Schizosaccharomyces pombe: one gene and its partners. The gene in region 2 interacts genetically with the main gene of each other region. Each region holds a gene or a part of one and is shown on either strand. Other genes may lie near its edges. The genes, in order: cwf19, SPOM_SPAC3H5.11, SPOM_SPBC15C4.06C and lin1.

Region 1 (8,484 bases), 2.3 Mb from region 2:
CAAAGCATTAGTACATTTCTATATCAGTCAAAGAATTTCAATTTTACGAACATCATCAAAATTCGCACCACAGAACGCTGTAAGACTGGTTTTTTGTAATTTTTCAAATGAGTAATGATAGAAATACATGATAGCACTAAAGCAATGGCTACGAAGAAGCCGCATAATGCGACTATTTCGTTGTCCATGAAATTAGAGCTGATCGTGATGAAGGGACAAAAATGCAGGCAAGGTGGCTACCACAAGCTATAAGGGGGCCTTCTCCAATTCCAAACAGATACTACCTACTACGGGCTTTACGGTGTTTGTACGCATAAGCTATAGATAAAGTACCGAAACTTTGTGATGTGGAAGAGTTCATCGAAGCTAATATTGATTTACCTCTTTAGTATGGATATTGTTTTATAGCAAAAGTAAATTAATAATACTGTCTTACAGGATAATTTGCCCTATAGCTGTAGTACTGCTGTAAAAATCATTTGTTTCCATAATACTAGCAATTCGTGATCTTTAATTAATCTAATTTTTGTTTTTTTTTTAAACTCTACTTTCCTCCCTTCTGTATGATGGAGGACCTAAAGTAATGTCTCCCATAGCATTCTGATGATTCTTAAGCTGACTTTTTGAAAAAGAAGCAGTAAAATATAATGAGTGTTTGTTTCTTAATGCGTAGGAGAATTTCGCCTTGGCATATATATGGCTTAGTTAAAAAATTATTTCTTTTATAAAATTGAGAAACTCCAAGTCAGACTATTACCGCATTGTATTCAAAACAAATCACTTATAAATTTTAATATTTTTGCGCTCACCTGCGTTGTTTCTTGGATGTAATATCGCTAAAGTTCAGTAAATGAGTTGTTGAAGAAAATAAAATCTTTAGCCAAGACTGCAGACAAATTTGTATTTGTTAAGCAATGAGTAAAGACTACGGAACTCCTCCTGAGAACTGGAGGGAGGTTTACGATGAAATTTGTAAAATGAAAGCCAAGGTCGTAGCGCCTGTAGACGTTCAGGGTTGTCATACATTAGGAGAACGTAATGATCCAAAAAAATTTCGATTTCAAACACTGGTGGCATTGATGCTTTCTAGCCAAACAAAAGATATAGTACTGGGTCCTACCATGCGAAACTTAAAAGAAAAATTAGCTGGAGGACTTTGTTTAGAAGATATCCAAAATATTGATGAAGTTTCTCTAAATAAACTAATCGAGAAAGTTGGTTTTCATAACCGAAAAACCATTTATTTGAAACAAATGGCACGTATTTTATCAGAAAAGTTCCAAGGAGATATTCCGGACACCGTAGAAGACCTAATGACTCTCCCAGGTGTGGGGCCTAAAATGGGATATCTATGTATGAGTATTGCATGGAATAAAACTGTTGGAATTGGAGTAGATGTTCACGTACATCGTATATGTAATCTTCTTCATTGGTGTAATACGAAAACTGAAGAACAGACTAGAGCTGCTTTGCAAAGCTGGCTGCCTAAGGAATTATGGTTTGAGCTGAACCATACACTTGTCGGTTTTGGGCAAACAATCTGTTTACCAAGAGGAAGGCGCTGTGATATGTGTACTTTATCTTCTAAGGGCTTGTGTCCTAGCGCCTTTAAAGAAAAAAGTGGCATCACAATAACTAAGAGAAAAGTCAAAACGATTAAAAGAGTCAAAAAAAGACCTGCTTCTGAGTCACCTCCTCTATCTCCACTCTCCCTTCCTACAGATGATTTGTATTACCAAAGCATCGAAGATAAATCACTTATAAAACTTGAGGACTTGGACCCTGTTGATAGTATATCACACATGAATGAACCTTTGAAAAAAGAACCAGCCGCTGATATTGATGTAGATCAGAAGCCACCTGTCGCATTCCATTCAACTACAAAAGAAACTAGGTCACTGCGCAGGTCAAAGCGAGTTGCAAAAAAATCATCCCAGTATTTCTCCCAACAAAGTTTACAAGATATTGAAGATCTGGTTTAATTTATTTTTAGGACCGTAAATTTTGGACAACATAAATCTGTTATTTATTTACATGAATTACTCAAAATTATTTATTCTTTACAACTCCGTCTTTAAACATATTCAAGAACCTTTTGCTACTGACTGTATAGTTATAATATCCTCTACCTTTACTTTTTAATAATTTTTTTAAATCTTGGAATAAATTGAAATCATTAATGTTGTTATACCCTTCAACAAACAATGCAGAATGTAAGATACTCGTTAAATACTACTAAGAACAATTGGAGTTTCGTCGAACATATAATAAGTACAAAAGTTTTCGGTTAAATCCTCTGTGTGAGGCGTATACAGCATCCAATCGATAGGAATGGGGCCGGTTATAGATATGTCAGGGCGCACTGATGGTCGATCGGCATCAAACGTTCTGTTCAGTTCATAGCTGCTACCCCTCGCATCACGTAAAACACGGTTTTTACGGACCAGTCTGTTTAAGCTTCGAGTTATGTTCGAATTTTTAATTTTTCTATTCGAGTATTTACTAGAATATTAGTAATTGACGATGTCAGGAAAATATATAGAAAACTTACGCTTGAATAGTGTTAGTGATAGTAGAAAAAGAAACAGCAGCAGGGAAAGATTCTAAAACTTGTAAAACTATTTCATCTTCATTGCTATATTCTTGTAAGTATTCATCTATGGTAGGAATTTTTTCACTCTCCATGTATTGCTTATCCACTTCAACTGGTTCGGTCGAAGGTAAGGACGTCGAATGCTTGGTTGTTTTCGATTGTGATTCTGTTCCATTATTTAGACTTAGATACTGATCTCCCGTTACAGGTTCATTCATAGTAGCTGTAAAGGCAGACCTTTTGCTTTGGAGCTCTTGGACAATAGTGGAAGTTTTAGGACTATAGAACGGGATGTCGGGATGTAATTGCTCACAGAATAATAGGATGTCAACCAGTTGGGAGATCGGAAGACTTAAAAGATAAGACTTTTTCTCTTCCGAAGACAGATTTAGTTCTCGTGCCGTAGTTCCAGTTACGAGAGGCGCTTGCTTTTTTCTCCTAATGCAATCATCACAAAACCATTCTCCATTGGGGGAATCTAAAAGTTCATCAGAAATATAGGGTTCATGACAAAGTTGATGGAATGGAGTGTTACAACCATCACAGAAAACGATGCGATTTTTTGGTGGAGATTGAAGTCGTTGACAAACCGAACATTTCATAGCTAATGCGACCACAGGTCGACGACCTGGGCCACGTCGTCTAGTAGGTAATTTTACAAGGGGATCGAAATGATTAGGGCGATGCACTTTTCTTCCTGATTTTGTTTTGACACCTTCCAAATTAAATTGCTCTTCCCTACCATCTTCAGTAGAAAAGAGGGCGTCAGCGGTGTTGTCACGTTCAATAGCCAAACTGGCAGGCCATGATCTTTTCCGAGCAATGTTCATAGCAATTGACATAGGAGGTAATGGCGATGAACTTGCAGGAACATTTGGGGGTAACGCAGATTTTGTTTGGGAATCAGCACTTCTATGATGCGCATAATTAGATGAAGATGCGTCTTCAGTGAAAGGTGCCTGTTCGCTTTTTGCATCGGTTTCCTGATTTTTACTAGATTCTATTTCTTTAGCAACATCATCATTTTTGTACGAACCGAAAGCACCTGACTCCTTGTTTGGCTCGTGAAAGTGTTGGAACTGATTTTCCAAATGCATGTTTGAATTCACGTTAGGATTTTGTATATCCTGAAAGGCTTGATCTATTAGCACAGAGCCTCCATTTTGATTAGATTCCTCCCCCTCAAACATCGTTGGATGCAAATCATTGGGAAATCGACGACTACCGTCGAATTGAAAAGGATATGATGCCGCTTCAAAAGAACCGCCATCGTCGTCATAGTACGATGAATTCGGCATTAGGTTTTAAATCATTCATATGCTCATGTAAAAAACAAATGAAAAAATGAAGCAAATGGCAAAAAATGCGAATGTGTAAGTTCAACACGCGTGTTTGGAATTTAGGTGAGATTTAACGCAACTTATAAATCGTTTGCTGCTGTTACTCCAATTATGTTTTGCTAGCGAAATGAGATTGATCATCACTATATCTCGCTTATTCACTTCTCACTACAACTCACTGTCTAGTCATATATAAATACTGCACGTATCCATGAAGAGCTGAAATCTCACATTTATTAGAGCTTTTTTATTTTTAATTTTGTTAAATTTAATTATTCATGCATTAACTAGTCATAGCTATAAATATGAATGAAAATTTGGTCTTTCCTTTGTTTATATTTCCTAGATGGCCTAACAGCTATAATTGATTGAACTTGTATGCTATTAAAGGCGATAAACAGACTTCTTTAGTACTTTGCTAAAGAAAATATAATTGCAATGATCCAATTACACTGGAAATACAGGTATAAAAAATCGTCACAGTTTGGAAACAAACAATGCTTTTTTTTCTGTGGCTGTTGTGTAGCTTTGCTAGTATCATAAACTCATTGTACACTAGCGCAAGACACACTATACAGTAGTTAGCGCGAGGTATTTTATTATTCTTTCCAACTTATTTGTAATGAAGTTCAAATAAACAATGGGTAATTTAGTACTACTAAAGTCCTTGCGTTATTTAAAAGGTTTTTGTTTGAAGTTAGTGGTATATATTTTGGAATCCTAAAGTTATTGTATCGCCTTTCACTGTCAATGTGGAATACTGCAAAGGCCGATACTCCTTCTTTCAAACTTAATTGTTTCACTTTCTTTTCTTTCCATTTCAACGCAATATTTTACAATTTTTTTTAATTTAAAAGAGAATTCTGATCATTGTCTAAACTAAACTCCTGGCAAAACTATCATTTGCGTTGCTTGTTTAGATCTGCATAGTGCCTGAACCACTTGACTTAACGAATGTACTACTACCATCGTTAAGTTACAATAAAAACATTATTTCCTTTTTCCCACCATTTTGCCTCTAATTATTGTTAAAAATTATTTATTTCATGAATTAATATTAAAATAACGTCCATTATGGAAAAGGAAAAGCTTACAAATAGGACCAGTACTCACAAATTCAATGAAACTGACAGAGAAACAAATCACTCTAGAAGGCATCGTCACCACCACTCTAGGCATCGTGAGAGCAAGCATGGACGACATGATCGCAGTGAAAGGCCAAGCTCTAGAGAAGCAGGTGACCGAAGTAGGCATGAAAGATTTAGTAAAGAGCCATTGGAGGTAAAGAAACTTCCTGTTGAAAATGAATACTTTGACTCCAAATTCGCTTCTGCTTCTTCCATGCCATCCTCCAAAGACAATCCACAGAATAATGACTTTACTAATTCATTGCAAGGTTTGGATTTTGGTACGTTCGGTTCGCGTATACAAAGAGAACCTATTGACCGAAAGTCCAATAAGCCTGGTGAAATTTTTGTTGGTGCAACATTACAGAATGAGAGTTCGACGAGTACAGAACATAAAGATATAGAACAGCTTGAAACCGAAATTAATGAGTCAGGAATTAATTACAAAATTGGTGATAATGGCTCTCGATGGCGTATGATGAAGCTCAAACGCGTATTTGACATGGCTCAAGACCAACGACGCCCCGTTGAAGAAGTAGCTCTGGAACGTTATGGTTCATTGAAAGAATTTGATTTTGCCTTGGAAGAAAGAGATGAGTTAGAGCTTCGAAAACGAACTCGAAAAGTTCAGAAAGAAGTTCCTACTGGCGAATTATATGAAAAACGATGTGCTGATGAATTTAAGACTAGAAAAGATTCTGGTAATGGCGCTACATACTACAAAGTAATACCTGACCCTTCTGTAAATAAAGATACTCCCACTGAAAGCGATTTGAATAGATTAAAAGCTGATTTGTTACGTGCTCAACTTAAAAAGGATCCTAACTATGAGTCTTTAGAAAGGGAATATCAGAAAGCTTGTGATGACTTCGAAAACTCTTTACACCCTTCGGAAAATTCTAATTCGCAAGCAACCATACCATCAAAAAAAAGAAACTTCGACGATCCTACTATTGATGAGATGGTACAGGAAGAAAAATTGTTGAATAAACAACGGAAATACGGCCAGAATTATGAATACGCAAAGCAGATTGCAAAGGATAAAACTTATTCTAACAATCTGGATTATTTGGACGAAAATGCAGGGAAACTTTCTAATCGAATGAAGCGCGGAGACGTCAGTCTAGCTCAAATTAGTAGTGGTGGGGATCTTAAAAAAATTAATCATGTTTTGGACACTTGTCCTCTTTGCCTAAATTATGAAACACAACCTTTGGCACCAGTAATATCTTTAAGTCATCGTGCTTATGTTTCTTTACCAACTCAACCCGAATTAGCTAAATATCATTGTTTAATTGTTCCTACAGGACATCGGATAAATACCCTCAGCTGTGATGAGGATGAATGGGATGAAATCAGAGTATGTTAATATAGTAAAAGGAAATAACTAACAAACCTTTTTAGAATTTTATGAAATGCATCGCCCTAATGTTTGATTCCATGAATCTTGGTGTTATTTTTTATGAAAACGCGCCTTCACCACAAAGATATATGCACACAGCTATTGAGTGTATTCCAGTCTCTAAAAGGATCCTCTCACTTGCACCTGCTTACTTCCGTGAAGCTTTGTCTACTTCTGACGAGGAGTGGTCTCAACATCGAAAAATTATTGATACATTAGAAGGTTCGAAGAAGTATGGAAAATGGGCTTTTCGAAAAATGATGGTTAAGGGTATGTTTGGAAAATCGTAATCATTTATTTTACTAATGATTAGAATTGGGTTATTTTCATGTTTGGTTCAGTATTGATGGTGGCTACGGGCATGTCGTGGAAGACGAGAAGGCATGGGGGAGGCACGATCAAGTTCCTAGGCAGGTATTTGCCAGTATGCTAAACCTTCCTCCTGAAGTAATCAGAAGGAAAGGTTCTTGGACAGGTAAAAAAGATCCACGCGAAGATATGTTTCGCAGTCGTTTTGAAAAATTCGATTGGACCAAGGGATTAATTGATTAGTAATTACGAAAATCCTTTAATTCAAATAAAATTTTGTTTTTATTTTTGTATCTACATTCTTTAAGTAATATTCATTACTGATGATTTGTAAGATCTTTATTTTCATTAAGTGGTTACTCGCTATGCTACCTTATCTTTCTTTATTACTTGGTACCTGTCCATGTGCACACAGCTAATATACTGCTTCATATAAGCTAGAAGGGATGTCTTTTGAGCAAAAACAGCATGTAGCATCAGAAGACCAGGGCCATTTTAACACAGCGTATTCTCATGAAGAGTTTAACTTTCTTCAAAGCTCCCTAACTCGAAAGCTTGGACCTGAGTACGTTTCAAGAAGGTCAGGTCCTGGGGGTTTTTCAGTCAGTTATATTGAGTCTTGGAAAGCAATTGAGCTTGCGAACGAAATTTTTGGATTTAATGGGTGGTCTTCGTCGATACGCAGCATTAATGTTGACTTTATGGACGAAAATAAGGAAAATGGACGTATCAGTCTTGGCTTGAGCGTGATTGTTCGCGTGACAATCAAAGATGGTGCCTATCATGAAGATATTGGATACGGTTCTATTGATAATTGCCGTGGAAAGGCTTCAGCGTTTGAGAAATGCAAGAAAGAGGGCACTACAGATGCCTTAAAACGCGCTCTACGAAATTTTGGAAACAGTTTAGGAAATTGCATGTATGACAAATACTATCTTAGAGAAGTTGGAAAAATGAAACCACCCACTTATCACTTTGATAGCGGTGACTTGTTCCGTAAAACAGATCCTGCAGCGAGAGAGTCTTTCATAAAAAAACAGAAAACATTAAATAGCACGAGGACTGTTAACAATCAACCTCTGGTTAACAAGGGAGAACAATTAGCTCCTCGTAGAGCTGCAGAATTAAATGACGAACAGACAAGAGAAATTGAAATGTATGCAGACGAAGAGCTAGACAATATTTTTGTAGAGGATGATATAATTGCTCATTTAGCAGTAGCAGAGGACACAGCCCATCCTGCTGCTAATAACCACCATTCTGAAAAAGCTGGCACTCAAATAAATAACAAAGATAAAGGTTCACACAATTCAGCTAAACCAGTGCAGAGAAGCCACACCTATCCTGTCGCTGTTCCACAAAATACCAGTGATTCCGTTGGCAATGCTGTGACTGACACTTCCCCAAAAACGCTTTTCGACCCACTTAAGCCAAATACTGGTACACCTTCTCCAAAGTTTATTAGTGCACGGGCCGCAGCCGCAGCCGAAGGAGTTGTTTCAGCTCCCTTCACGAACAACTTTAATCCTCGTCTCGACAGCCCTTCTATTAGGAAAACCTCAATAATCGATCATTCTAAATCATTACCTGTACAGAGGGCATCGGTTTTACCTATAATTAAGCAATCTAGCCAAACAAGCCCGGTTTCTAACAACTCTATGATACGTGACTCTGAATCGATTATTAACGAAAGAAAAGAAAACATTGGACTTA
Region 2 (8,773 bases):
TTTCTGTATTTATTATATTTTTTTAATTTTAAATTTTTTTTTTTTTTTGTTCCCCATATTGGTATGCAGATAAAGGAAATTATTTCACACTTCATTTAAGCTGCTTTAAAACAGTCTAAATAACCCTGGCCATGTATTCCTAACATATCATAAGTAAGAATGTATATTAAGTATTTAACTAAATTTACTTCCTCTACTGATCTATTTAATTATACATATGATTCAAAGGTGCAAAATGCTTTAAAGCTACTGCTTCATTGACGAACAATTATATTCTACAGCAAATATGTGTAAAATGTATATATATCATCAGAAAGTATTTTGACATGTCTTACATTCTAATGAATTCGTTTGCAACTAAAGTCTATTTTCTCATCGGGATAAGGACATTCAGTCATTGCGAAACAAAAACCTGTAAAAAGTGAATAGAATATGACATAAATAATATTTATTTCTTTTCTAGTTGACATTAGGTTAAATTGCATCAAAGACTTAGATAGCCAACTTTACCGTAACTGTCAAGAAAATCCATTTTAGCTTATGTAGGAAATTGGTGAAATCCACCGCAATCAACATAAGATAAAAAAAAAAAATCTTTAAAAAAAATGCAAAAAATAAAATCCTTATTTCAGTCTGGTGTACCGCTCAACGGTTTTTTAGCTATTTTATTTCTACCTTTTTAGCTTTTGTTTACAATAGATAACGAAACCATTGAAATTTCATTAAATCTGACTAACGAATGAACATCTCGTCGTTAACAACATATAACATCTCATCGTTATTTATTTTTCAAATAGACAGTCACAAGCGTTCGAAACTTTTCATATGACACGAAATAGCAATTCGACACACTGCCAAAATGCCCTTCATCAAAGCAGTCAAGAGCAGCCCATACTTCTCACGTTACCAGACGAAATATCGTCGTCGTCGTGAGGGTAAAACCGATTATTACGCTCGTAAGCGTTTGATTGCCCAGGCCAAGAACAAGTACAATGCTCCCAAGTACCGTTTGGTCGTTCGTTTCTCCAACCGTTTCGTCACATGCCAAATAGTTTCTTCTAGAGTAAACGGTGACTATGTTCTTGCTCATGCTCACTCTTCTGAGCTCCCTCGCTACGGTATCAAATGGGGTTTGGCCAACTGGACTGCCGCCTACGCTACCGGTCTTTTGGTCGCTCGTCGTGCTCTTGCCAAGGTTGGCCTCGCTGACAAATATGAGGGTGTCACTGAACCCGAAGGTGAATTTGAGCTTACCGAGGCCATCGAGGATGGTCCTCGTCCTTTCAAGGTTTTCTTGGATGTTGGTTTGAAGCGTACTTCTACCGGTTCTCGTGTCTTTGGTGCCATGAAGGGTGCTTCTGATGGTGGATTGTTTATTCCCCACTCTCCCAACCGTTTCCCTGGTTTCGATATTGAAACCGAGGAGTTGGATGATGAGACTCTCCGCAAATATATCTATGGTGGCCATGTTGCTGAATACATGGAGATGCTTATTGATGATGATGAAGAGCGTTATCAAAAGCAATTCTCTGGTTTGATCGCTGATGGTATTGAGAGTGATCAACTTGAGGACATCTATGCTGAGGCCTATGCCAAGATCCGTGAGGATCCCTCTTTCCAAAAGTCTGGTAAGGATGCTGCTGCTTTCAAGGCTGAGTCACTCAAGCATACTCAAAGGAAACTCACTGCTGAAGAGCGCAAGGAACGTTTCAACGCCAAGGTTATCGAGGCTGGTCGTGCTTAAGTATATCTTAAACCATTTTAATAGTATGTCCTGTTCTTTTCCGAAATTTATAGATTTCAGTAGATTTGTAGCTCTGTACATGATTTTTAGATTTTATCACACGTTTTTGGTAGTTTTGCATGACGATAACTTTGTAAAATCAATTAGCTTGCAAATTAATTAGGTCAACAAGTTTTTGTCAATAGCTCTACATCGTATAAGGTATATCGTCTTTCCCAAAATAAGATTTTGCAAGTTCATATTGTTAGGAAATGGATTGTTTTCAAAGATGAAATATTATAATAATAATTGCAATATGCAGCAGTTAAACTGAAAGCTATATTGAATTCCGCATTTACATTCGTCGATGTTTTGACTGACTGAAACACTGAACAAGTACACCTACTTGACTACAATAATAAAGCCATTATCATAAAGCACTTATCAGAAGTTTTTTTTGGTTAACAAAATAGAGTACTATTTTATTGTTTGTGAGACAAAACTCAATTAATATTTTCTTGTCCGAAATCTGCATATTTTCCTTGCAACACCCTTGGCCACCTCAGTTAGTCAAAAGTAAATCTCTTCGACTATTCTTAAAAGTTAAAAAGAAAGGCAATTAAAAAAAAATAATTAAAGTTCAAATATAATCCGCATTTACTTCTTTGAAGTCATATGAACTTTCCCTAACTTCGTAAATATTAAAAATTCAATGGACAAACAAATTCCCAAATTTGAAATTACCAGATCATCACGTATGTTTGAATTATAAGATTAGCCATTTTAATATATTAGTCTTGGACCAGTGCAAGTCATTTTTGCCAGAATTGGAGAAAGCAAATCAAACGCTACTAGAACATCCGGATTCACAACAGGACGTTCAAAATTTGTCAGATGAGAGTAATTATATAGAAATGGTAAGTTTCAGGAAAAAGATGAATTATGTGACTAAAAAAATTTCAGGATTTAGCGTTAGGTGTGCTCGAAAAACAACCAGAGAACTCCATATCAGAAGATACGGAAAGCGAAATTCAGGCAAATGAAAACCAGGGAACATTGGAGCATTTAATGAATCTTTACAATTCAAGGGATCGGGAGAAGGGAAACGAAGTGACACTAACAGACTTTCTGCACGAAAAATTAAGTCGTGCGGCACAAGCGGACTTAGAACATGAAGAATCCGCGAGCATTGATCAAGATGAAATGGTTGCAATAGAAACAAGAAAAACAAAGAAATAAAAACGACTAAAGGAAAATTTTTGTATCTAATGAAAATTCGTTATATTCTAGGAAAACTAATGAATCAATTTTTAAGTGTAATATACTAATTTTGGTTCCACATCAATGTACGTTTTATGCTTTCAAACCAGTCCGCGTCTTCTTCTGTCGAATGAACTGTAGGAAATGGATACCGCGAAATGCGGACAGTCAAATAATCGCCTGGTAGCAGTTCAGTTCGATTCCTGCCATCGAAGGAAATCCTAAGAAAATGTTAGATAAAAAAACATATTTTATAGAAAACATCTGAAGCGGAGCACTATTTCATTAACTTACCAACTACTTTGTTGGGCATCCTGAGGAATTACAACGTGAAGAGCCATAGAATCTGGTACGTGAATGGGTCGTAAACTAAGGGAGTGTGCACATATAGGACTAACAATCATAACGGAAATATCTGGATGACATAAGGAACCACCAGCGGCAAGCTAGTATATAGTTAGTACAATATAAAAAATTTAATGGAATTGTGGCTTACTGAATAGGCCGTGGAACCAGTAGGAGTAGAAATACATAAACCATCTGCTTTGACGGTAGTGAGATATTTGGAATCTACGTAAAGCATAATGTCACTCATAGCAGTGTTGGGACCCCTATCGATGACAACTTCATTGAGCACGACTAAGGAATCAGTAAATGTGTGTGTTTCCGTGTCTGTGGCATGAAGTGACTGAGACAAGTGCTCATCGATATTGATCCATTGTGTACGATTCTTTTTCTTCATTACACGGCACTCAAATCGTGTACGAAGGTGGACGTACATTTCATTACAAATCTCCAAGATGGAAGTCTTGTACTTTTTGACATCGAAATGAGTAAGAAAACCCAATGTACCCATTGCAAAAGGCATGATTGGCGGTACAGTTCGTTGAAATAGTCGACTAGTATACAAAACAGTTCCGTCGCCGCCCAGTGTCAATACAAGATCAAAAAGCTGAGAATGCTTGGTACATAGCAGTGTTGTCCAATACTGAATCTTTTCAGTTTTTTCAAAGAGGTCCTCCATACTTTTTTGGATAAAAACGGTTATGTTATCTAAAGAAATTAACCAATATACAAACTCTTTGAGTTTTTCTTCTACTTCTTCGTCTCCAGGCTTGGAAACGAGCAAAATCGAAGTGATGTTGGGCTTGATGGGAGTTACATCTAATCGTCGTATTAGCAAATATCCGGGAATGTCAATATCAATGTTTGCTTACGAAGTTTTTTATTAATTGTACGAGTTTCCCAAACTACGTCTCGTAAAGCCTCCTGCTCGTTGATCGGTGCCTTCCTGTGCATCACCATGCAATCTGAAACGTATGGATACAACTGTGCATGAACGGAGCAATATGGAAAGCTTCCGTGATAATCATTTTCCGTTGTGGGATTTGTTGGTAAGCATGAATCATCGAATTCCGCCATGAATGCAAAAACTGCTGGGTCGCCAACAAAAAGTATCTAAATGTTTAATTGAATTGAATCACACCCCAACAAATAAATATTATTCTTTTTCAAATTAATAAAATAAAGCCAAAATATATGTGTAAGCTCTGTAAAAAGCTAAAATGGCTGCTGCCAGTATGTGTATGTATATATACTCTTTCTATATAGAGACTTAAGGTCTTACGGAAAGTGGTGGATGCGTACGTATGATAATAATGCGTAAATTATTTCGGTAAATACTTAGTTTGAGAAAATAAGACAATGATTATCAGTGTTTTATACGTAAGAATAGTCTATTTAATTAAAGTATAAGATCAACACTGACTACAATCTCCTTTTAATGTTTGAGGGGCTGACGACCCTCCTAATCTGCTTAGTAAAGCAGTTTTGAGTAATAAAAAAGAGAATTTATGTCAAGCAAGAACAAACCAGTTTAATGGATTAGGATATAAGAGTGCTCGATGGCAAAACATTTATCGAAAAAATTATGTAGGAATCCAAAAAACCTGCAAATCCAGCGTCCTCCAGCTCAGATCAGCGCTAAAATATGTAAAGTTTTTGAAAAATGAAATGTTGTCATCCACTGAAACACTTTCTAATTGATCTTTGGTACTTTAAATCAAAACCAAAGACAACGTTAAAAAATATACAATGTAACCAAGGATGAAAAGAAAAAAGTTTGAAGTTGAAGGTTTAAATGGACAAGATGAGGTTTGAAGTTATAAGTTAAAGTAGACAGCTTCATGTTCGAATAGTCTAGATATACATTTGCAGAGATAAGCTTAAACAGATCTGAAAAAATTTGTCCCGAGTAGATGCGTTTGAATACATATTTGATGTGTTTGAACGAAATATAAGAATAGTTCTCAATTAAATAAAATATTAATGATATACGTTTAAACGGTTTGAGAGCCAAATGATCTGTTTCAGAACTCTTCGTTCATCTTATCGAATGCAGAAAAGCTAAATGAAAACGACTGCGTCACGTTTAACCATTTTTTTTAAAAGTGAGAAACTTTTTAAATTAAACTGTGAAAGGGAAATTTCGCTTAATAAACTAAAAGTTATCAACGATTATACAAAGAGTTTTTTTCCAATACCAAAGTACTTTCATTAACTGTACTAAGTCGTGATTCTAATTTACTCCTGAGAGCGAACCTTAGCACCGGCATTGGTGACCTTTACACCGAGAGCACGAGCCTTTTCAACAATTTCAACACGCTTACGAGCAGAGACGTTACCAGCAATCTCAGCAGCATAAGTCTTGTTATGCATCAACAAGAGCTCAACATCTGAAACGTTACGGACTAGGAAAGCCTTCAATCCATTAGGCATGCAGTATCTGGTCTTCTTGTTATTTCCATAACCAATCTTGGGCATGGAAATGGTGCCACGGAAACGACGACGAACACAACTATCAATACCTCTGGGCTTTCTCCATGATTCTCCAACACGCTTGAAGCGGTCAGACTGATGGCGCTTGAAGGGCTTGGTGCGCTTCTTGATGATATTGACAGCAGCCATTTCTGTTGTGTGGGTGGAAAAGTTAGCACTTGTGTTGTGAGTGTGTTTTGGAACGAACGTGACTGCTTTTTATGGGGATGGTAGCTGAGTTTTCATTTTTTGCGCTATAGTTCCCAGATTTGACATGTTGAAAAAGAAGTTAATAATATCTCTATTTAAATGATCAATAACATTATAAAACTAATCATTCTTCATTTTCATTTCTGTAATATCCCGTATTTAGCTTTGCATATCAAACTGATTGCTTTTCTTCAATGTTTCCTCCGTAACGCGAAATTGTTTCACTACCTTTAAATACCGAGCTTTTTGTAAGATACGCAAAACATACTTAACAAATTGAAAAATAACGCACACATCCCTCTACTTTGATAATAAACTTAAAAATGTATGCGCTACATATCGATATAATATTTAACGGTTTCCTCAAGCGACTTCAATTTCCGATCCACGTGGCCGTTAATCCCTAAACTTGTTTAGTCAAGCGACTACCGCTCTCGCTGATCACTGACATAGCGTGTACCTTCCCGCCTCTTCCCGCTCAGTTGGATTTCTTCGTTACACCAGCTTTATTTTACACAGTTTCCTTTCTCCTCCCTCCTCTCCGTTTCTGCAATTTCCTTACCTTTTCATTAAAGGAAAAACGACAAACTTATAGTAATCTCTATGTGTTTACATACTTGATGAACCCGTTGTTTCCTTTTTCCTTGCTTAATCCATCAACGATGTGGTCGTCCTCGCAAAACACTTCATTCGTTTGGGTGGTGATAGCGACAGGTTTCCTTTTTCATTTGGTTCTTTTTGTACTGTCATACGTGCTGGGATGGCCCTTTACAAATTTTGGATTCTTCTCCGTGTATGGCCTACGACACACGTTCCGTAATGGAGACTCGGTTTTCATCTCGTATGTGGCACTTCGTCTGCATCGTCCTTCTACTTCCAAGCCCTATTTACTGCGCATTGTAACCAAAGGCTTGATTTATACTCCATCACTTTCCAGTGCTAATGATGCACAATCGGCTGGTAAGAATGAGAACCAAAGATCTCGATTGGTGTTTAAAGCAAAGCGTGAGGAAGAAAAAACGGAGGAGAAATTTTGTCATGCCGTTTACATGTCTAACTTACTTCGCAATGTGGAGCAAAAATGGATTCAGTTTCTTCACAAATCTTGGATGAAATGGCTTCACATTAGTATCCAAGAATCTCAATTGACATTTCCCTCTGTAGGAACATTCGAGTTGGGCAGTCTTTCGATGGAAATGCGTCCTGAAACCAATAATGTCGTTGGATATGAAAATCCGTCTGATCCCGAACTTGTATCCTCCTGCGTAATTTGTAGCATTCGCTTGGCAAACCTGGTTTACATTGACCGCCGGCAGAGCAGTCAACAGATTACCGATTATTTGGACTTAAGCTTACAAACCTATTACTCTTTAGATAAATCAAACGTTCCTGACACGATTCTGCGTCTTCGTTCTTCCATCAAAGTGGGTGTGTTATATATAGATCTAGATACTCCACTTTTTGAGCATTTGTTAAATTCAAATTCTTCCGGAGGAAATCATTCTTCCTCCTCCTCCTCCTCTGGAAAAGTTCATGTGATGAAGGATAATGTTGAAGCGGCCTTATTAAAGTTACAGGAAGCTCAAATCCAGATCGGTACATTGAAGCTTTGGAAGAGAAATGTAACGGGATGTGGAGCCACCTATATCTTAAATGGTAGTGATTTTGGACTGAATTTGATTTTACTGAACAAAAAGAATCCTTCCCACAGAATGTTTTTCCCCGTAGAGGCATGTGTTCATCAAATTTTAGCCTCTGCTTTGTCTTTCAACGTCGAAAGTATCACTCCTGGCCATTCACCACACGTGCTCCTTAATATTCCTTTGGTAACTATAACGTGTCTGACTTCAGCATTGGCCGAGTACGCTCGTGATGCTAGTGATCTTCATCAACTTCAAAATAGTATTTTACGAGTAAACAGTACATTGACCTCTCCATCATTGGATCTTCGCCTAGAGTTGCTACACGATGTTTTGTCTTGTTTCCCAAAAAAACACGATTCGACTTCAAGAAAGAAGCCAAAGTTTCCTTATCAATACTTCCCTTACATGAAATTTTCTGTATCTTTGTACGAACCTGCTTTGCGTTTTTTGATTGCATCAAAGTCCGATTCCGACTTTCCTGGAATGCTAGTTGCTAATCTTTCTTCTATGTTTTTGGACATCAAGTATTCTCCATCCTCTGAGCATATATTTGAAATTGAGTCTTCTCTACGCTTAAGCTCTAACAAAGTTTTTTACCATAATCCGAAAAACAAAAAATGGCTAATCAACACATCCGACCTCATTACCTTCTCATTAGGTTATATTTGTAATAACGATCACGGATCGTTAAATATGTTTTTTCGTGATTTTCAAATACGAATTGAAGAAGAAGAGGTCATTAACTCGTTGAAAAAGTTTATTATTCTCACAAAGATCAAATCTGAACAAGTCGGCCCTCGCAAGCCACGTACCAAATTAGTGGAACCGCTTCTTTTTAGAATACCCAAATGGTTAAAGCATATTCAACTTGAGGTTCACTCACTGCTCCTAGTAATTACCGCTATTCGCCCTGAAATTTCACCTGAACCTCGTGGTATTAATTGTTCTATTGACAAAATACATAGTCTATATTTGAATGATAAAAAAAGTCGTTCACAGGGTATGCGCAAATTTGATTTGAATCTTGAGTTACTCATGATTAAATCAATTATATTTAAAAATGGGAAAAGTTTAAATAGCCATTTATTCTTGCAAATCCCCAACATTAACTTTATCGTGT
Region 3 (8,219 bases), on a different chromosome or scaffold from region 2:
TATTAGTATTCTTACCTGGTATTTCGGAGATCCTTCGTGTAAAATCTCTTATCGAAGATATGCCTATGTTTCGAAATCATCGTAAGTTCTGTATATACATGCTACACTCTACACTATCCTCTGCGCAGCAACAGTCCGTTTTTAACATCCCTCCCAAAGGGTGCCGCAAGATTGTATTGTCGACAAATATCGCTGAAACTGGTGTTACTATTCCAGATGTCACTTGTGTGATTGATACAGGAGTACATAGGGAAATGCGTTATAATAGTAGAAGACATCTTTCTCGGTTAACTGATACATTTGTATCTAAGGCCAATGCCAAGCAACGTAGTGGACGTGCTGGTCGTGTTCAGGAAGGTATCTGCTATCATTTGTTCTCAAAATTCAAACATGATACCCAATTTTTGTCTTACCAGACACCTGAAATTCTGAGACTTAATCTGCAAGAAGTTGTTTTGCGAGTAAAGATGTGCCAAATGGGTGATGTACAAGATGTCTTAGGCAAGGCGTTAGATCCACCTTCCTCTACCAATATTATTCGTGCTTTAGAAAAGCTTCATCAAGTGGGAGCGCTCTCTGAAAACGAAAAATTAACAAAACTCGGCAAATTTTTGTCGCAATTACCTGTTGATGCAAATTTAGGAAAAATCTTGGTTTTGGGATGCTTCTACAAATGTGTAGATGCCGCTTCTTCAATAGTAGCCATGTTAACAATCGGTTCACCTTTTAGGAAATCTGTTGACAATGAATTTTCTGCAAACAAAGCCCGATTATCATTCGCTAAGGAGAATACCAGGAGTGATTTAGTTTTGATGTATTATGCTTACTGCGCTTGGCGAGAGATTTGCCTTTCACCTTTAGGCCCTGATGAAGATTCTTTTGCCAAAGAAAAGTACTTAAATTTAGAGGCTTTAAGTATGACAGAATCACTAAAAATCCAACTGCTTTCTGAGTTGAAGGATATGAAACTTTTAGGCGCTTCGGATGTTGATACTTGCAAAAGCCTAAAACGTTCAATATGCCGGCGTTTTGCCGTTATCCCCAAAGAGCATGATATTAACTCAGGAAATGCAGAAATTCTGTGTGGCGTAATTGCTGCATCTCTGTATCCAAACATTTTAAGGTATGATTACGAAAAAAGACAGTGGTCAACCTTGAGTACCAACAAGCGTGTTAGAATTTTAGATGTATCGGTGAATAATAGGTCTGAGTTACCTAACATGCCGTCCAAATTCGTTGCTTACACGAACATGATGTCTTCCACTCGAGCTAGTGAGTATGTTAATGAAACTACTATGGTTACTCTTCGCCAGCTTCTAATGATGTGCGGCCTTAAAGTCGAAAATAGAGTATCAGTTGGACAAGCAAAGCTTGACAACTTTACAGTATATTTTGAAAATGTTTACGTTTCGGCATCTTTAAGTATTTTACGTCGCTTTATTGAAACTTCTCTAAACGAATTTTTTGCTGAACCTGATAAACGCTTATTGAATTCCCATCTTGAGGTTATTGTTAACATAGTTTCACGGTTAAATTACGGAACCAAATTTCAGAAACGTCTCAAAGATTAATGAAAGTATCAAAAATGAAATATCAGAAAGTTGGTTTTCACATATCTGCTTAATGACAGGCAAATTTTCTTTCCATTTGGAAAATGTAAGAATTATGTTGGTTGAGCATAAATGTGTAAAATGGAGTTATCTAAGGCTTCATTGCAGAAACTGATGGCTTTTCTATTTTATGAGACACAATTCAGAGTATTTAATTTTCTCAAATCCAAAAATGTCAATTATTATAACTGTATATCGTTTTCTTAGAATATCAAAATAGGTCTCTAAATGAAAAGAAAAAAATATTTACATATGCAATTTAGCATTAGACCGGCTAATTTGTAAAATACTTAATAGTTTTTTTGTACCTTCATCATAAACTAGCAAGCAACATGTGTATTAAACTTTTTATAGTAAACAATGACATGTATAGTAAGCTTTTATATAGTACTATAGAATTCATACGATAACACAAATAATAGATTAGAACGATGAGAAATAGATAATTAGCCCATTAAAAGATGCAAGAAAATTATGAACTTAAGGAAGCGTAAGTTTTCTTCGTCGTAGGAAGAACTGAACAATAAGTATGAGTATGCGTATGCGTATAAAGACAAGCAAAATATTATAACGTAAATGAATGAGAGTCGAACAAAATATGCTAATATAGATTATAAAAAAAATTATCCTTATGAGTAGAAGTACAGGAATTACTCAACCAATGGAGAAAATTCATAAATATGCAGTTTAAACATTGTCCTCGGAAGCATTTTCCAACATGTTTGTAACTGACTGTTTACATAGGGGACAAAGATCCGAATTTTTTAATAAATAAGGATCAATGCAAGCCGGATGAAAGATGTGATGGCATGGCAGTTCTCGATAAAGAGGACTTTCTTCTGAATACTCACACAAGCAAATAGTACACTCCCTCTGATCGAAATACTTACTCCCTCTTTCGGCTGTAGTAACCACATTTCCCTGTCCATCAAAACTTTCTGATTTGTCTAATTTCCAATCCTTTTCATAAACCAACTCATCATTAGGATTGGCAAGATGAGGCCCCGAAAACATTCTAACGGGCAAAGTATCGAGCATTTCTTTAGTAACACGATTTTCTGGTTTGTTTGGTCCAATATTCACAATTCTTTCTTGAACAGGAATTCCATGACGATTTAAGAGTCTATAAAATCCATTCATTGCACCAGAAAAGTGAAGGCAAATAAAAAGGCCTATGACACCGATTAAACCCAATAACACACCAATGAATATATAGAGGCCAAGTAGCTTTGGTTCCTTGCTGATGATAACGCCCAAACGGGCCGTAGCATCAATGTTTCCAAAATATTCGACTAATGCTCCACCATCCTGCACCGAATTTAAAGAAGAAGCCGAGTATTCGTTGAGAATCTTTTCAAAAGCGATGCCGTTTTCGTAAGATATGAGTGCCATTGGTAATGTTTCAAAGGTAATCATATCTACAGCATCTTCAAAGTGGTCAAAATTGGTTAATGAATTACTAGCAGTGCTTGCATTATAAAATAGTATTGCCTTTGCTCTATCCTGGACAGCCTGCAATACATGCATTGGAGCACAATAGTCAAACGGCGCGAATGCGATTAAGCCAGAACTTCCCATATTAGAAACATCTCTAAACCATACGCTTCCCTTGGTATCAACTTGAAGTGACTCGGTGTCATTGCAGCTACCATAAGGAGTAGTTTTATATATAATTCCACGAAAATTATTCTTCAGTTTAGACAAGCTTTTGTAATACTCATTCAAAAGGACCGTGTTGTCAGAGTGGAAGTAAAATGAGACATTTTTTGGAAGATTTGAAACAACATTCTTGTTGTTTTTAACAATAAGAGTAGTTATGGTTAGCGGAAAGAACTGATTGTATTCGACAGCATTCATAATAATAGATGAATTTCCGTAATATGAAAGACCAGAGCTAACATAATTAGATATTGCAGTATTTGGAGCATTGCTGGAATAAGCAGGGTAATAATCATCATACAAGGAGATTGAACCAGAAGTAGAGGACGACCTTGCAGAACTAGTACTAGAATCTGAATAAGATTTGGGATTTGATTCACTGGAAACAGAATCCGAGTCTGATTCACTAGAACTGGACATAGAATCTGATTCATCATGACTAGATCTTGAAGAAGAAGTGTGTTCACTAGCATGCCCACTAGTATGGCCTCTTCTTAATGATCTAAATGAATAAGAGATTGGAGTTGGCGAGATACTTTCGTCCTTTGGCATTCGATATCGCCTTCTTTCATTCCATAGTTTACGAATTGCATTAAACAGCCGCTTTCTCCTCTTTACCTTATTCTCTTGTGAAACATAGCCTCTGTAAACTGCATTGCAATCCAGATGATCAAGCAACTGGTTATTACACAGATGCATAAGAACCTAAACAAACTTTAAGGCACGAAGAAACACAAAGAACTAGGAAACAGGAGGTTTCAAGATTACCAAAAAACAAACCTGCTTTGATACCAATCTTTCTAAATAATGAATCAAATTTAATGGTAATTGAAAGGTAAGCTTTCAATCAATAAACAGACGTTGAGTGGTGATATCTCTAAAGCAGGAATTGTGGAACACAATTAATGAAATTTTTTAAAGGAAATTTCAAAAAATTAGAAAGTAAAAAGTGTGATTCTTTTAACTTATACTAGCTCAAGCTTGAAAACCACAAATTGGTGGTGGCTAAGTAATGAACATCTTGAGACATATTGCGTACATAGTACACAATACATGTGATATACATGTGGAAAGCAATTGTTATTATATTTTCACTATGAGCAGTATACTTCAGTGAAGAAGTTTTTTAATGAAGGAAAAACTATGAAACAAACAAAGCATAAAGTGCAGGGCGAGAAAAACAATCGTGAAATAAAACAGCTTATTTGTGTTTGGTGATTCGACAAGCGCTTTAAACAGGTGTGAGAAACTAAATAATAATAAATGGTAATTATAAGAAATAAAAAAACGAAGAAGTGATACTTCAAAAAGGTAAGCATAGCTGGAGAATTAATGATCAGAGAGAACTATAATAAATAAATAAAAAAAGGATCGCTTAGCGATCAATTAAACAATAAGATATCCTCCTTAAACATAAGAAGCAATTTACTAGGAATACGTTATAGGATTTAATGTTGTTTGAGTATACTTTGTAAACTAGTATAAGGATATAATTATTGTGATATGCTACCTCGTAATTTAGTATAATTTTATGGAGTTCGTTTAGTACAGCGGTTACATATTTGTTTAAGAAGGCTAAGATATAATATACTATATAATTTTATATTTTACTGTATTAACTTACAACTGAACTAGGAAAGGGTAGTTTGTTCGGTTGAGATATTTCTTCAATAATTGTATTTTCCTAAAGATGTTTTACTCGTCCTGATCATTAAAGATCAGTAGTATGGATCCGACAGTTTTGAAATGAAAATAACAATAATTAGTAGTGATATCTAATGTAGCTTTGATCTGGCTTAGCAATACATTATTGGTAAAGTATGGGGAAATGGATTATGTAGTTTGTTATGAGAAATAAAAAATGTGCACCAAATTAATCTCAAATATCCTTTCTTTGCGTAGTAAATTTTTTTATTTGTTTTAAACACATATTAACTGGAAGTCATGTTTGCGCAAACTTTAAAATGCTCATCTCAGCAAATGAATAACATTGTAGTTTGAGAATAATAATTACTTTTGAATACATATGTTCAAGTCCAAGAAGGCTGCCATTCAACTCTAAACTGAACATTTGCTTATAGAAGCAAAAATTGTAGTAGATACCAACTTCGCTCCGAACTCTATATAATACCGATTTTAAACAACACTTTTTACCAGAAGTTAATTAATCTTATATATTAATTTCTATTATTCAACTAGCATTATTCCAAGAATTGGAATTATTTACTTTTCGATCTTAGCCCTTATATACGTAAATAACAATGCTACTTTACCACGAATACAGAATATAGTCCACCTCCACCATCCCTATTTTAGTTGGCCTAGTGGTTTCTTGAAACACTGGATTAAAGTATTAAAAGTTAAGTCCATAAGCTAGGGAAATAAATTTCCTATTATTTCCAATAAGTCGAACGATAAATCAAGGAACCACGGATTTGAATCAAGTTGCAGAAAGACATTCTTTGCTTTACAACATCGGTCAAATAAAGAAAGAATGAGTGACATTAACAATAATGAGCCAGCTGAAAATATTGAACAGCCCAAGCAAGAACCAGAAGATGGAAATAATTCGATGAGTGTTGATGAACAACCCGAAACGTCTTCCACAAATCTGCCAACTGGTGACAATCTCGCCCCAATGAGTGTAGAATCCCCTGCACATTTAAATAACGAGGATTCTCCCAAAAGCGATGATTCTAGAGAAAGGCATGGCTCGAATTATGTTATAGAACCGCATTTAGAATTGCGAGATATGGCCAAAGACAAAACACTTGAAAATTTCTTGGCCCAAATGGATGATTACTCTCCCTTAATTCCAGATGTGTTATTGGATTATTACCTCAGTTTATCTGGATTTAAATGTGTTGACCCACGCTTAAAAAAGCTTCTTGGTCTTACAGCTCAAAAATTTATTTCTGATGTTGCTCAAGACGCCTATCAATATTCTAAAATCCGAACCGGTAGTAGCAATGCATCTTCAACTACGTTTGGTGCGCAGAATTTTGGAGCCGGAGGCGCTTCCGGGATTGGATCTAGCGGAAGAAGAGGTGACCGTGGAAAAACCGTGCTCACTGTAGATGACTTAAGTGCCGCTCTTAATGAATATGGAATTAATTTGAAAAGGCCCGATTTCTTCCGTTAAAGACTTTTTATCCCACTAAGGCCACTTGTGTGAGACCCTTACTTAATGCATTAGTGGAACTTTGTTTCTGAAATCTCATTTTCCTATAAAATTTTTGTTTACTAATTGTTGTTAATTCTAACCTTTTACACTTTTTTGAAATTATTATGTATTTTGAAGATAGCACATTCGGTTTGGCGTGGCATTGTTGATGATCATAATTTCAAAACATTTTCTCATATCGATCCATTTCAGCAGTAGTTTTCATATGAGGGATTATTTATCTTTATATTTTATAAAATTTATCATATGTATCATAGTTACTATTTTCTCGCTATCACTTGCTGAATTTGTTTTACACTGATACTCTCATTCAACATTGATGTAGTAAATGTTTTCTTCGTTATGCTACTATCTGCATTTTGAAAAGCACTTCTGAAAGTGTCAATTACGCGGTCGACAGCTGCCTCATAGTATGTCAGAACCTAACATGCTTCTAATTATAATATGCATTGTATATAAAGTAAAAATTAATATAATTACAGTTACCAGTACTCTTTCAAATAATGTAATGCTTGAAACCTTAAACAAATACAGACTTCTCAAGAAAAATCACTGCCTTCATCTGGCAAAGGAAGATTATCAGTTCCTACAAGCAAACATCTTGTTTTGATTGTAGGAAGGAAAGTACTTGGTATTCCTCTTTTAATTAAGTCTAATATTACCCAAAATTAAATAAATTGATTATAATAAATTATAGTTTATCCTATTCAAAGGATCCATTCTGTTTATTTAAACATTATAGCGCTGATAGTTCAAAAGTAAATGGTAACGTTGGTAGGACGCGCTTGACATTCTGTGTTGAAAATGGAAATACCATTAGAGGTAGAATTTGCCCGAATCGGTGAATTCAAATAAGCCTGTAACTCGCAAAGTCCATCAGAAGTTCCACTAGGTCCATACCCACAATCGATAAGGGGATAAACTTGCTGGTTGACGAGATGCCGTACATAATATTTGCTGTCAGAACAAAAGAACAACTCAGTAATTAAATTTCCAGCGAAGGGAACGAATGAAGAAGTTTTCTGGGAGTATGTATAAATGTTTTTATCAGTCGGCAAAGGATTTTGCGGAGTAATGTCAGGAAAGAATCCCAAAGCAGCTTCCACAGGAATGATATTAGAATCATGAGTAAATGCTAAAAATACTTTACGATCGAAGTCGGGATTAGTCACATTACGAAGTGAGTCTGCAAGATTATTTATATAGGCCCCACCTAAGGTTGAAGCCCATTCGGAAACAGGACCACCTCCATATGCCTGATCGAGATCTGAGTCATATTCAAAGTTCAAAAATTCTGATGGGGTAAATATGGAACAAAAATCACTGTGATCTTTTATAGCAATTTCATATTCGCAGATATAAAAGAGACTACGAACGTCATTGATCGTAAGTTTATAACTGCTGTCAAAATATTTAGCCAAACGATTCACAATGGGCTCAATAAAAATATTGCGCCATACAGCATGGGCAGCATCAGTTGCATTTTTATGAAAGTTATTATCTTTAAACACGGGACATGCGTTGTACATGGATAAGGAGTTGGCACCTGCTGCCTTACCTTCAGAAATAAGGATAAAATTGGTTTTTTCGTACATTTTATCACCAAATAATCCATAAGTAAACCATTTTGCAGATTCAACAACACGTTCCTGTTCAGCCGTATTTATGTCGTAAACGTATGAATCAAAAAGTTTATAGTAACGCTGGTATAGCTGACGACCCAAGTCGAAAAGTTCGAGACGACCACGGCTGGAAAGTTGATCGGC
Region 4 (7,457 bases), on a different chromosome or scaffold from region 2:
AGTCCCTGGTGTACTTTTCGTTGATGAAGTTCATATGCTAGATATTGAGTGCTTTTCTTTTTTCAATCGCGCATTGGAAGATGACCTAGCTCCTATCGTTATTATGGCTTCTAATCGAGGAATTACTCGTATTCGAGGTACAAATTATCGTTCCCCTCATGGCATTCCAGTTGATTTGTTAGATCGTATGCTGATTATTTCTACATTGCCCTATTCCCATGAAGAGGTAAAAGAAATCTTGAAGATTCGCTGTCAAGAAGAAGATGTTGATATGGAGCCTTCAGCTTTAGATTACCTTTCCACTATTGGTCAGGAGACTAGTCTTCGCTACGCATTACTTCTTATATCTTCATCTAATCAGGTTGCTTTGAAGCGCAAAAGTGCTACGATTGAGGAGTCCGATATCCGACGTGTTTACGAATTATTTTTGGATCAAAAAAGAAGTGTTGAATATTTAGAGGAATACGGAAAGAATTACATAACCGAAAATGAGTGGTCGGCTTCAGGTGCACAAGATAATGCAGTTGCAATGCAGGAAGATTAAAAGCACTAAAGACGAATATTTTGTTATAGTTAAGAATATGAAAGTATTAAATAGCAAGTCTTTATAAAGGTTGCAAGACAAGTTTAATTTAGACTTATTTATCGAATTATAGTTTTCCGTTAATTCAAAGGTACAAGCTATAAGTTCTGTTATATAATGAAATAAAATAGTTTATTATCCACTTTGACTATTTCTTTAAAGAAACTACATCGCAAAAGCAGATATTGTTAGGATACATCCATTCATCCATATTTGCTAATTGTATAAATGCTGCATGCTTGGCATCCGTAAAATAACCTTCATTACTCCAAGCCTGTATTTGGCTTGCGGTATAAGGGCCGTACGTCTTATCGTCAAATTCCCACTTAAAGTTGTACTGTGAAGAATTTGAGTCGTCGTAACTAACAGGAGAAGACCATGAATTTGACGTGAGTTTTTGATAAATTCTTTGAAGAGATTCTCTAGTTTCCGAGTATATATCTTCCTTTCCAATTTTATCCTCTAGAAAAGTTAGACCAGCAGTTATAAGTTCTATTAATTTTTTCCGAAAAGCGTCAGCACTTTTCCTTTCAGGAGAAATGCCCTCTGCGGTATTATTTTTCTTTTTCTTATACGATTTTTTGTTACCACTTTGTCTCTGCAAAAATTCTAAAATACTTTCATCTCTCTCCATTCTTGCGATAAAAAACGATAACGCTTCAGGAACCGTGGAAAAAGGCAGTTTACTAAATTCTTCCAATTCTTGATTCCTTCTTCTGTTTTCCATTTCCTTACGCTTCTGCTCCGCTTCTCTGGCTGCTGCAATGCTTTTTTTATTAGAAACACTGCCATTGAGCCATGCATCATACTGAGACTCTGGGTCATAATTTTTTCGTATGAAATTACCATTTTCGTCAAAATCACCCTCCTCCATATCTTCTTTTAAGTTAAAGGACATTCGTTTTGGGCTTGAGGGAACTGATATCTCACTGCCTTCTTCATCCGCGTCGAGGTCGTTAGCCTGATTTGTATCTTCTTGGCCTTCTATATCTTCATATCTTAACTTTGAATACTTTCCGTTATCGTCCTCATCATCAGAATCGTCGTTCAAAACCTCTTTATTTCGCAAACCTTTATGTGCTAATCTTTCAGCATCGCCATTTTCAATGAAATCACGTCGCTTTTGCGCTTCATCATTTGGCAGAGTACGCTTCTCATCTTCCGAAGTATCAGAAAACATATCTTCCGATTGCCCTTCCTTCTTCTCTTTATTCAGAATTTGGTCTTCATCTTCTTCAGATTCAGATTCATAATATCCTGTGAATTGAATGTTAGACAGAAATCAACAAATGAATTTGCATACCCTCTTCTTTTGTCCTAGGACGTTTTCTCCCTACATTGCTTACATCGTATTCAAAAAAAACATCGTGAACATCACCCACTGTACTCGAATTGCCAGGGTTTCTGAGCGTACGCTTCATTGTTCACACAAAATGTAGTTGCAATTGCGAACTCGTTATGAGTGCAAGATTATTAAGTGTTAAATCTGAAACAATAGAAAAAATAAAATGATTATACAAAAATAAATATTACCAAAAAATAATGCACGACGAATAATAATCTCATCCTCATGCTATAGTATTTTTTTTACATGCAGTTATAAAATTACGTAGCTGAAAACATCTCTGTTAAAGAACGTTTAGCAAAATAAAGAGATGAAGCATTATCTACTGACAACGAATAAGTGATTGTGCGTTATACCAGTAGTATATTGATTATTGATTCTTTCTTCAAAATAAAAAACTACTGAAAATTAATCCTGTATGTACAAAACAAACGTGAAATTTTACAATTTCAAAATCATATAATAATATCGCCGTACGTAAGAACGGTATCATCCTGAGAGTGACATTGCATGTGAAACTTGGTATAGATTCGCTGTATAACAGTAAAATAAGACATCAAGCTCTCATTCAATTCAAAAAATTCTATTATGGAGTGACCTTTTTCCATTTAATTTGCATTTTATCTTTAAGATATCTGCATTGTTATCAAATATGTAATTATTTTTCTATTTACCTTACTATATAACAAGCTTCGTATAAGTGTGGTATTTGGAATCCCATAGTTTCTTATTTTTCGTTATCCTATTTACTGATAACTGTTGGAGCACGAAGTAAGGTCATTCATCTAAAAGCAAACACTGTAGTGACTTATCAAGTTCGGAAAACTGTTCTTGTTTATTAAATTGCGCATTTTCTTTCATCTATTATTTTCTTATTAAACCTCAAGATTCGTTTATTATCTGACCCTGTTTGAAAATTAATAATTGACATTCAATAGTCCCTGCTCAACCGTGGACATCCATTCTTTACTGTCTCACAATTTTTTGAAAGCTACCTTCTTTATCTATTAAAAAAAATGAAATTACACACATTTTTGCTGTTATCGGTTTTATGTTTTGCTGGTTGCATTCAGCAATCGTTACAAGCTGAAGTATATGGAAAAGTATTAACCAATACTATCCTTCCCAAGATTAATTTATTGTCTTATGATACCAGAGCCAGATTGATCTCTAGCAATAAAACGTTTGAGACAGTAGTGGAGAGAGATGGTAGTTTTACATTTCCCAATGTCCCTGATGAAATATATTTCTTACGGTTAGAAAGTATAGACTATGAATTCTCCGAATTTCACATCATAATCAATGAGTCGATCGTCTACCCTTACTATACTTCGCCTGCCGAAAAACGTCCAGCTAGTTCGACCGCTAAGAATACTAGTTATCCTATTAAAGTCCGTGCTGTTCTAAAACGCGATTATTTGAAGGAGCCAAGAAAGTTTTCCCTGATACGTTTATTAAAAAGCCCAATGATGTTGCTTTCCTTAGCTTCTGTTGTTCTTGTATTTATCCTTCCAAAACTTAACATTGAAGCCAAGGCATTGGAGCAAGCTAGGCTTGCAGAGGCTGCTGAGAAAAAAACTGCTTGATTAAGCTACCTATAATAGTTAGTGAAACTTATTTTACTTGGAATAGGAACTTGTCTTGCAGAAAAAAGGGAAAAAAGTGGACCACAATTGGTCAACATTTAGATTTCAGTTTTTTCTTTGACTCGATAATTATTTGTTAGTCAAAATTCTATTCGGGCATTAAATCATGCTCAAATGTAGAAAACTATATCTTCAGTAGATAGAACTCGTAGTCAATTAATAGAATTCGTTTGCTAAAAGAATTGGTACTAAATGGGAATTTCGAAAAAGATGAACAGTTGTTTAATTTATTTCGCTTATTGATTCAGTCATTCCCGTTTAGTAATATTAGCTTCTGAAAAATTACCTTCACCAAATTTTCTTTAAAGTCGCTAGTTTGTAAACTTGATGCCTTTAAATGCAACAAAAGGTAAATATAGATGCAAGGAAAATAATAGAAATTTAGTGTAAAATATTTTATCAATTTTTTTTATTTACTTTTCACACCAACCTTCTTCGTTTTTATTTATCCATATATCAACAACGAATTTGACAGTGTAATGTAGTTCACTATATGTTGACATTACGTAGCACGAAGCTAACCAAACCAAACCCAACCACTTTTTTTTTGCTAATTGTATATTTAATAGAATTAGTCCTCGTCCTAGTTTAAAAATTTCGTGCAATTTTCCTGTTTTTATGTGGTGTTAGCGAAGGACTTTTTATTTGATTTACGTTCTGAACTTCAACAAAGTGTATGGATCTATGGTTTTGAGAGAGCGACTTAGCCACATTTTATTCCATGAGAAGGTGGGATTTCTTCTTCTTTGCTTATTATGGTATATATCAAGTGCCGTTACGTATGTTTTTGTTGTGCCTTTATAAGGTGAAATGGTGGTCTGATTGATTCTAACTATTGTAGTAATACAACTTCAAAAAGTATTTTCAATGAATTACGCTGCCCGGTTACATTGACCTTCCTTCAATTTGGGTTCGTTGCATTTTTCAGTGCCGTTTGCCTTCTATTTAGAAAGCAATTTCTTGGTGGCACAGGTATTCAAAAACCCAGTAAATACGTTTTATATACGACTCTTCCATTAAGTATTTTCCAAATAGGAGGACACGTATTTGGAAGTTTGGCTACTACGAAAATTCCCGTCTCAACTGTACATACTGTAAAGGCATTATCCCCACTTTTCACTGTTTTAGCTTATCGCTTCATGTTTCGCCATGTTTACTCTGCCATGACTTACTTCTCCTTAGTGCCTCTAACATTTGGCGTTACCTTGGCCTGCTCTTTTGAACTGTCTGCTGATATAGTGGGGCTTTTGTACGCTCTAATCTCGACTTGCATTTTTGTCTCCCAAAATATTTTTGGCAGTAAAATATTTATGGAGGCAAAATCTCATAGCACTCACACGAAAAAACATTACAACAAACTAAATCTTTTACTTTATTCTTCAGGAGTCGCATTTATCGTTATGATTCCTGTATGGCTATACCAAGAAGGATTTGCCTACCTCCCTGAAGTCGGATCACCGGTTTTCCTAAATTTGATCTACAATGGTCTTTCTCATTTTTTTCAAAATATTCTGGCTTTTACCCTATTAAGCATAATTTCTCCTGTTGCATATTCCATAGCAAGTCTCATCAAGCGCATTTTCGTGATTGTAGTTTCCATCATTTGGTTTCAACAAGCTACAAATTTTACCCAAGGAAGTGGTATCTTTTTGACAGCTATCGGTCTCTGGTTGTATGATCGCAGTAAAAAGGGCAATTTATACGAGTCTTGTAAAGTAAAGGAGTTTGAAAAGGATGCACTTGAATTAGAAGAGCAAACAATGGAAGATGAAAAGTCCTATCCTTCTAGTGGAACACAATCACCATTTTATGGAAAGAATTTCCTTCCTCAAATCACCCCACGTCTTGATAGTGTGGTACCTCTTATTTCAGACTCCCCAATGACCCCTAATTCAGTCTATTCTAATGAAGGAGTTACTTCTTCTGTCTCGGGTAATGCTACACCTGCTTCTGTGCGTCAAAGTACGCAAAATGACTTTTCAAACTCCAACATACATGACAGGCGTTCCAGCTATACATTTCAATTAAACAATTTCAAAGCCCCTCAACCCTCTAGACTCTGGGCCACTGAAACTGTCCCAACATTGAAAATTTAATTTTATCAGGGAGCCGCAATATACTATGCCTTTATCAGATGCTTTCATTGCCCGTGTTTATCACTACATTAGTCAATCCTTGGCTCCGATCATCAGTATGGTTTTACACTTTTTGAGTTGCGGGATTTTCAAATACTTCATCATACATCTAAAAAATTATCGAATATCAAAGGGATAGAAAGAAGAAGAAATATATGAGCGTTATTGGTTGCTTGTTGAGGGCAAATTTAGCATTGTGTATAGTTGGACTTCTTATTAACTCAACACGAAAGCAACGTTAAACAATAAAAGCAAAATTAAATAAATAATCGACAGTTTTATTGTTTATCTTTGATAGTTAGGTTTTACACCATTCTTCTGTAAAACTTTTTATTTATTGCCGCAGTCTGTTTCTTCATTTCTTTGACTTTTATATTCTGACTTTGCAAACTTGCATACAAATTTACCTTAGCTTAGCTGTTCTTTTTTTTTTCTTCTACAGTCGTTTTATTCCTTTCTTTTCGCATTACATGATGATTGTTTGTTTCAATCATTATTACATACTCGATCCATAGTAATTTAGCACATGCTCGATGCTTATTTTTTATAATTGATACGAGTCATTGATCATTTACCTTACCACTGGTTGGTCCTTTTTTCCTCTCTTATATTATTTTTTCAACTCTTTTATCCAAGCTGGCATTGATTTGATCTGTTTTCTTCAAACATTAATTCCATAAAAAAAATTACACAAAAAATACTTGACAGGTTTGTAAATATTATCAATATTATTTGGTTTAAAAAGAAAGCAAAAGCTGGGATTCTCGCTCCACATAAGGTTTTTTTTTTTTTTAGTATAAAATGGTAATGTATAAAAACTGCGATTTCTACGCTCTTTAAACTGGATTAAAGATACAGTAATTTTTATTTCTAGTAGTCGTTGTACAGTATTGTAGAGGTAACTGAAAATGCTGGTAAATAAAATTAAGATACCAGTATTGTACTTACTAATGTATTGAATAGCTTGCAACTGAACTCTTAAACGTGGTTCAATTCGAGCTCTACTTATAGCAATGCAATTAAGGATCATTATAGTAGTCTTATATAAATGATGCGGGTACTCTAAAGCACCATTTTACACGTTCAGGTTAAATAGACATAAGATGAAGATTGATAACTAACGTAATTTGATATATTTCTAATGATTTTTTGTCGAACATGATTCTATACATTGCGCACATATTTTTTCAACGTACTACATAGTATTTTCAATGTTGGTGTGGGTTAAGTGGATATTTATTTTTTAATTCAATCATTTGCTCAGCAGTTATTGCTGGTAACATCAGAGATGATCAGATACTGTTTGAACAGGCGAGACTAAATTACTCAAGATGCGTTGGAGACGATATGAAAAGAGTTAATTTCACCATCAGCGGTCATGGTTATATATTAATTAAGCCTAATTATCCGGATCATTTTAATTATCGATTACCTGCAGATATGAAATTTTACAAGTGCGTTCTAACAATTAATTATATTTCAGTGTCATCTATGAGTGGTCCCTTCACCGGACCATATGAAAAATATAGTTCTGGTTATTTTTCAGAGTTTGGACCACAACATCTTTTTTCTATCAATAGATACCATGGACTTAGGTTTTCAAGGCAATCAAGTCAAGAATACGATTCTGTTGGACACATATTGTACTCGCCAATAACTTACTATGTTAGTGGAGCTGAGCATGTAACGATGGACAGTATTGATCAGCGGCGAGAATTTCAGGATTCAATATACACTCATGACAGTTC

Evidence for each region.
Region 1: mutations in SPOM_SPAC3H5.11 (region 2) and cwf19 together harm fitness more than expected from each alone (negative genetic interaction), as found in Schizosaccharomyces pombe (one large-scale study listed by BioGRID).
Region 3: mutations in SPOM_SPAC3H5.11 (region 2) and SPOM_SPBC15C4.06C together harm fitness more than expected from each alone (negative genetic interaction), as found in Schizosaccharomyces pombe (one large-scale study listed by BioGRID).
Region 4: mutations in SPOM_SPAC3H5.11 (region 2) and lin1 together harm fitness more than expected from each alone (negative genetic interaction), as found in Schizosaccharomyces pombe (one large-scale study listed by BioGRID).

The regions. Positions count from the first base shown.
Region 1 is NC_003424.3:1,100,271-1,108,754, reverse strand, and holds cwf19 (protein Cwf19), read left to right. Parts: upstream 1-4,947; 5' UTR 4,948-5,007; coding exon 5,008-6,420; exon of another isoform or gene 6,421-6,464; coding exon 6,465-6,732; exon of another isoform or gene 6,733-6,775; coding exon 6,776-7,014; 3' UTR 7,015-7,070; downstream 7,071-8,484. Other genes in the region: transporter Hfl1, read right to left, coding at 52-188; nth1 (DNA endonuclease III), read left to right, coding at 915-1,982; Lsd1/2 complex PHD finger domain-containing protein Phf2, read right to left, coding at 2,226-2,502, 2,552-3,891; DNA recombination mediator Rad52 (previously Rad22), read left to right, coding at 7,218-8,484. UniProt on the Schizosaccharomyces pombe protein: Involved in mRNA splicing where it associates with cdc5 and the other cwf proteins as part of the spliceosome. Involved in mRNA splicing.
Region 2 is NC_003424.3:3,410,092-3,418,864, forward strand, and holds SPOM_SPAC3H5.11 (NAD/NADH kinase), read right to left. Parts: upstream 4,591-8,773; 5' UTR 4,406-4,590; coding exon 4,201-4,405; exon of another isoform or gene 4,148-4,200; coding exon 3,480-4,147; intron 3,430-3,479; coding exon 3,278-3,429; intron 3,205-3,277; coding exon 3,048-3,204; 3' UTR 2,963-3,047; coding exon of another isoform or gene 2,687-2,962; 3' UTR 2,641-2,686; coding exon of another isoform or gene 2,519-2,640; 3' UTR 2,479-2,518; coding exon of another isoform or gene 2,436-2,478; 3' UTR 2,178-2,435; downstream 1-2,177. Other genes in the region: rpl501 (60S ribosomal protein uL18), read left to right, coding at 860-1,744; protein new4, read left to right, coding at 2,436-2,478, 2,519-2,640, 2,687-2,962; rpl3202 (60S ribosomal protein eL32), read right to left, coding at 5,567-5,950; protein hob2, read left to right, coding at 6,631-8,773.
Region 3 is NC_003423.3:2,249,439-2,257,657, forward strand, and holds SPOM_SPBC15C4.06C (ubiquitin-protein ligase E3), read right to left. Parts: upstream 4,273-8,219; 5' UTR 3,969-4,272; coding exon 2,298-3,968; 3' UTR 1,973-2,297; downstream 1-1,972. Other genes in the region: dhx29 (ATP-dependent RNA/DNA helicase), read left to right, coding at 1-1,571; SAGA complex/transcription factor TFIID complex subunit Taf10, read left to right, coding at 5,764-6,411; SPOM_SPBC21H7.03C (multiple inositol polyphosphate phosphatase), read right to left, coding at 7,206-8,219.
Region 4 is NC_003423.3:1,524,962-1,532,418, forward strand, and holds lin1 (U5 snRNP complex subunit LIN1), read right to left. Parts: upstream 2,156-7,457; 5' UTR 2,005-2,155; coding exon 1,887-2,004; exon of another isoform or gene 1,841-1,886; coding exon 732-1,840; 3' UTR 616-731; downstream 1-615. Other genes in the region: chaperone, AAA family ATPase Rvb2, read left to right, coding at 1-544; protein Emc7, read left to right, coding at 2,945-3,514; pet2 (triose phosphate transmembrane transporter), read left to right, coding at 4,259-4,353, 4,416-5,670; SPOM_SPBC83.12 (uncharacterized protein), read left to right, coding at 7,057-7,457.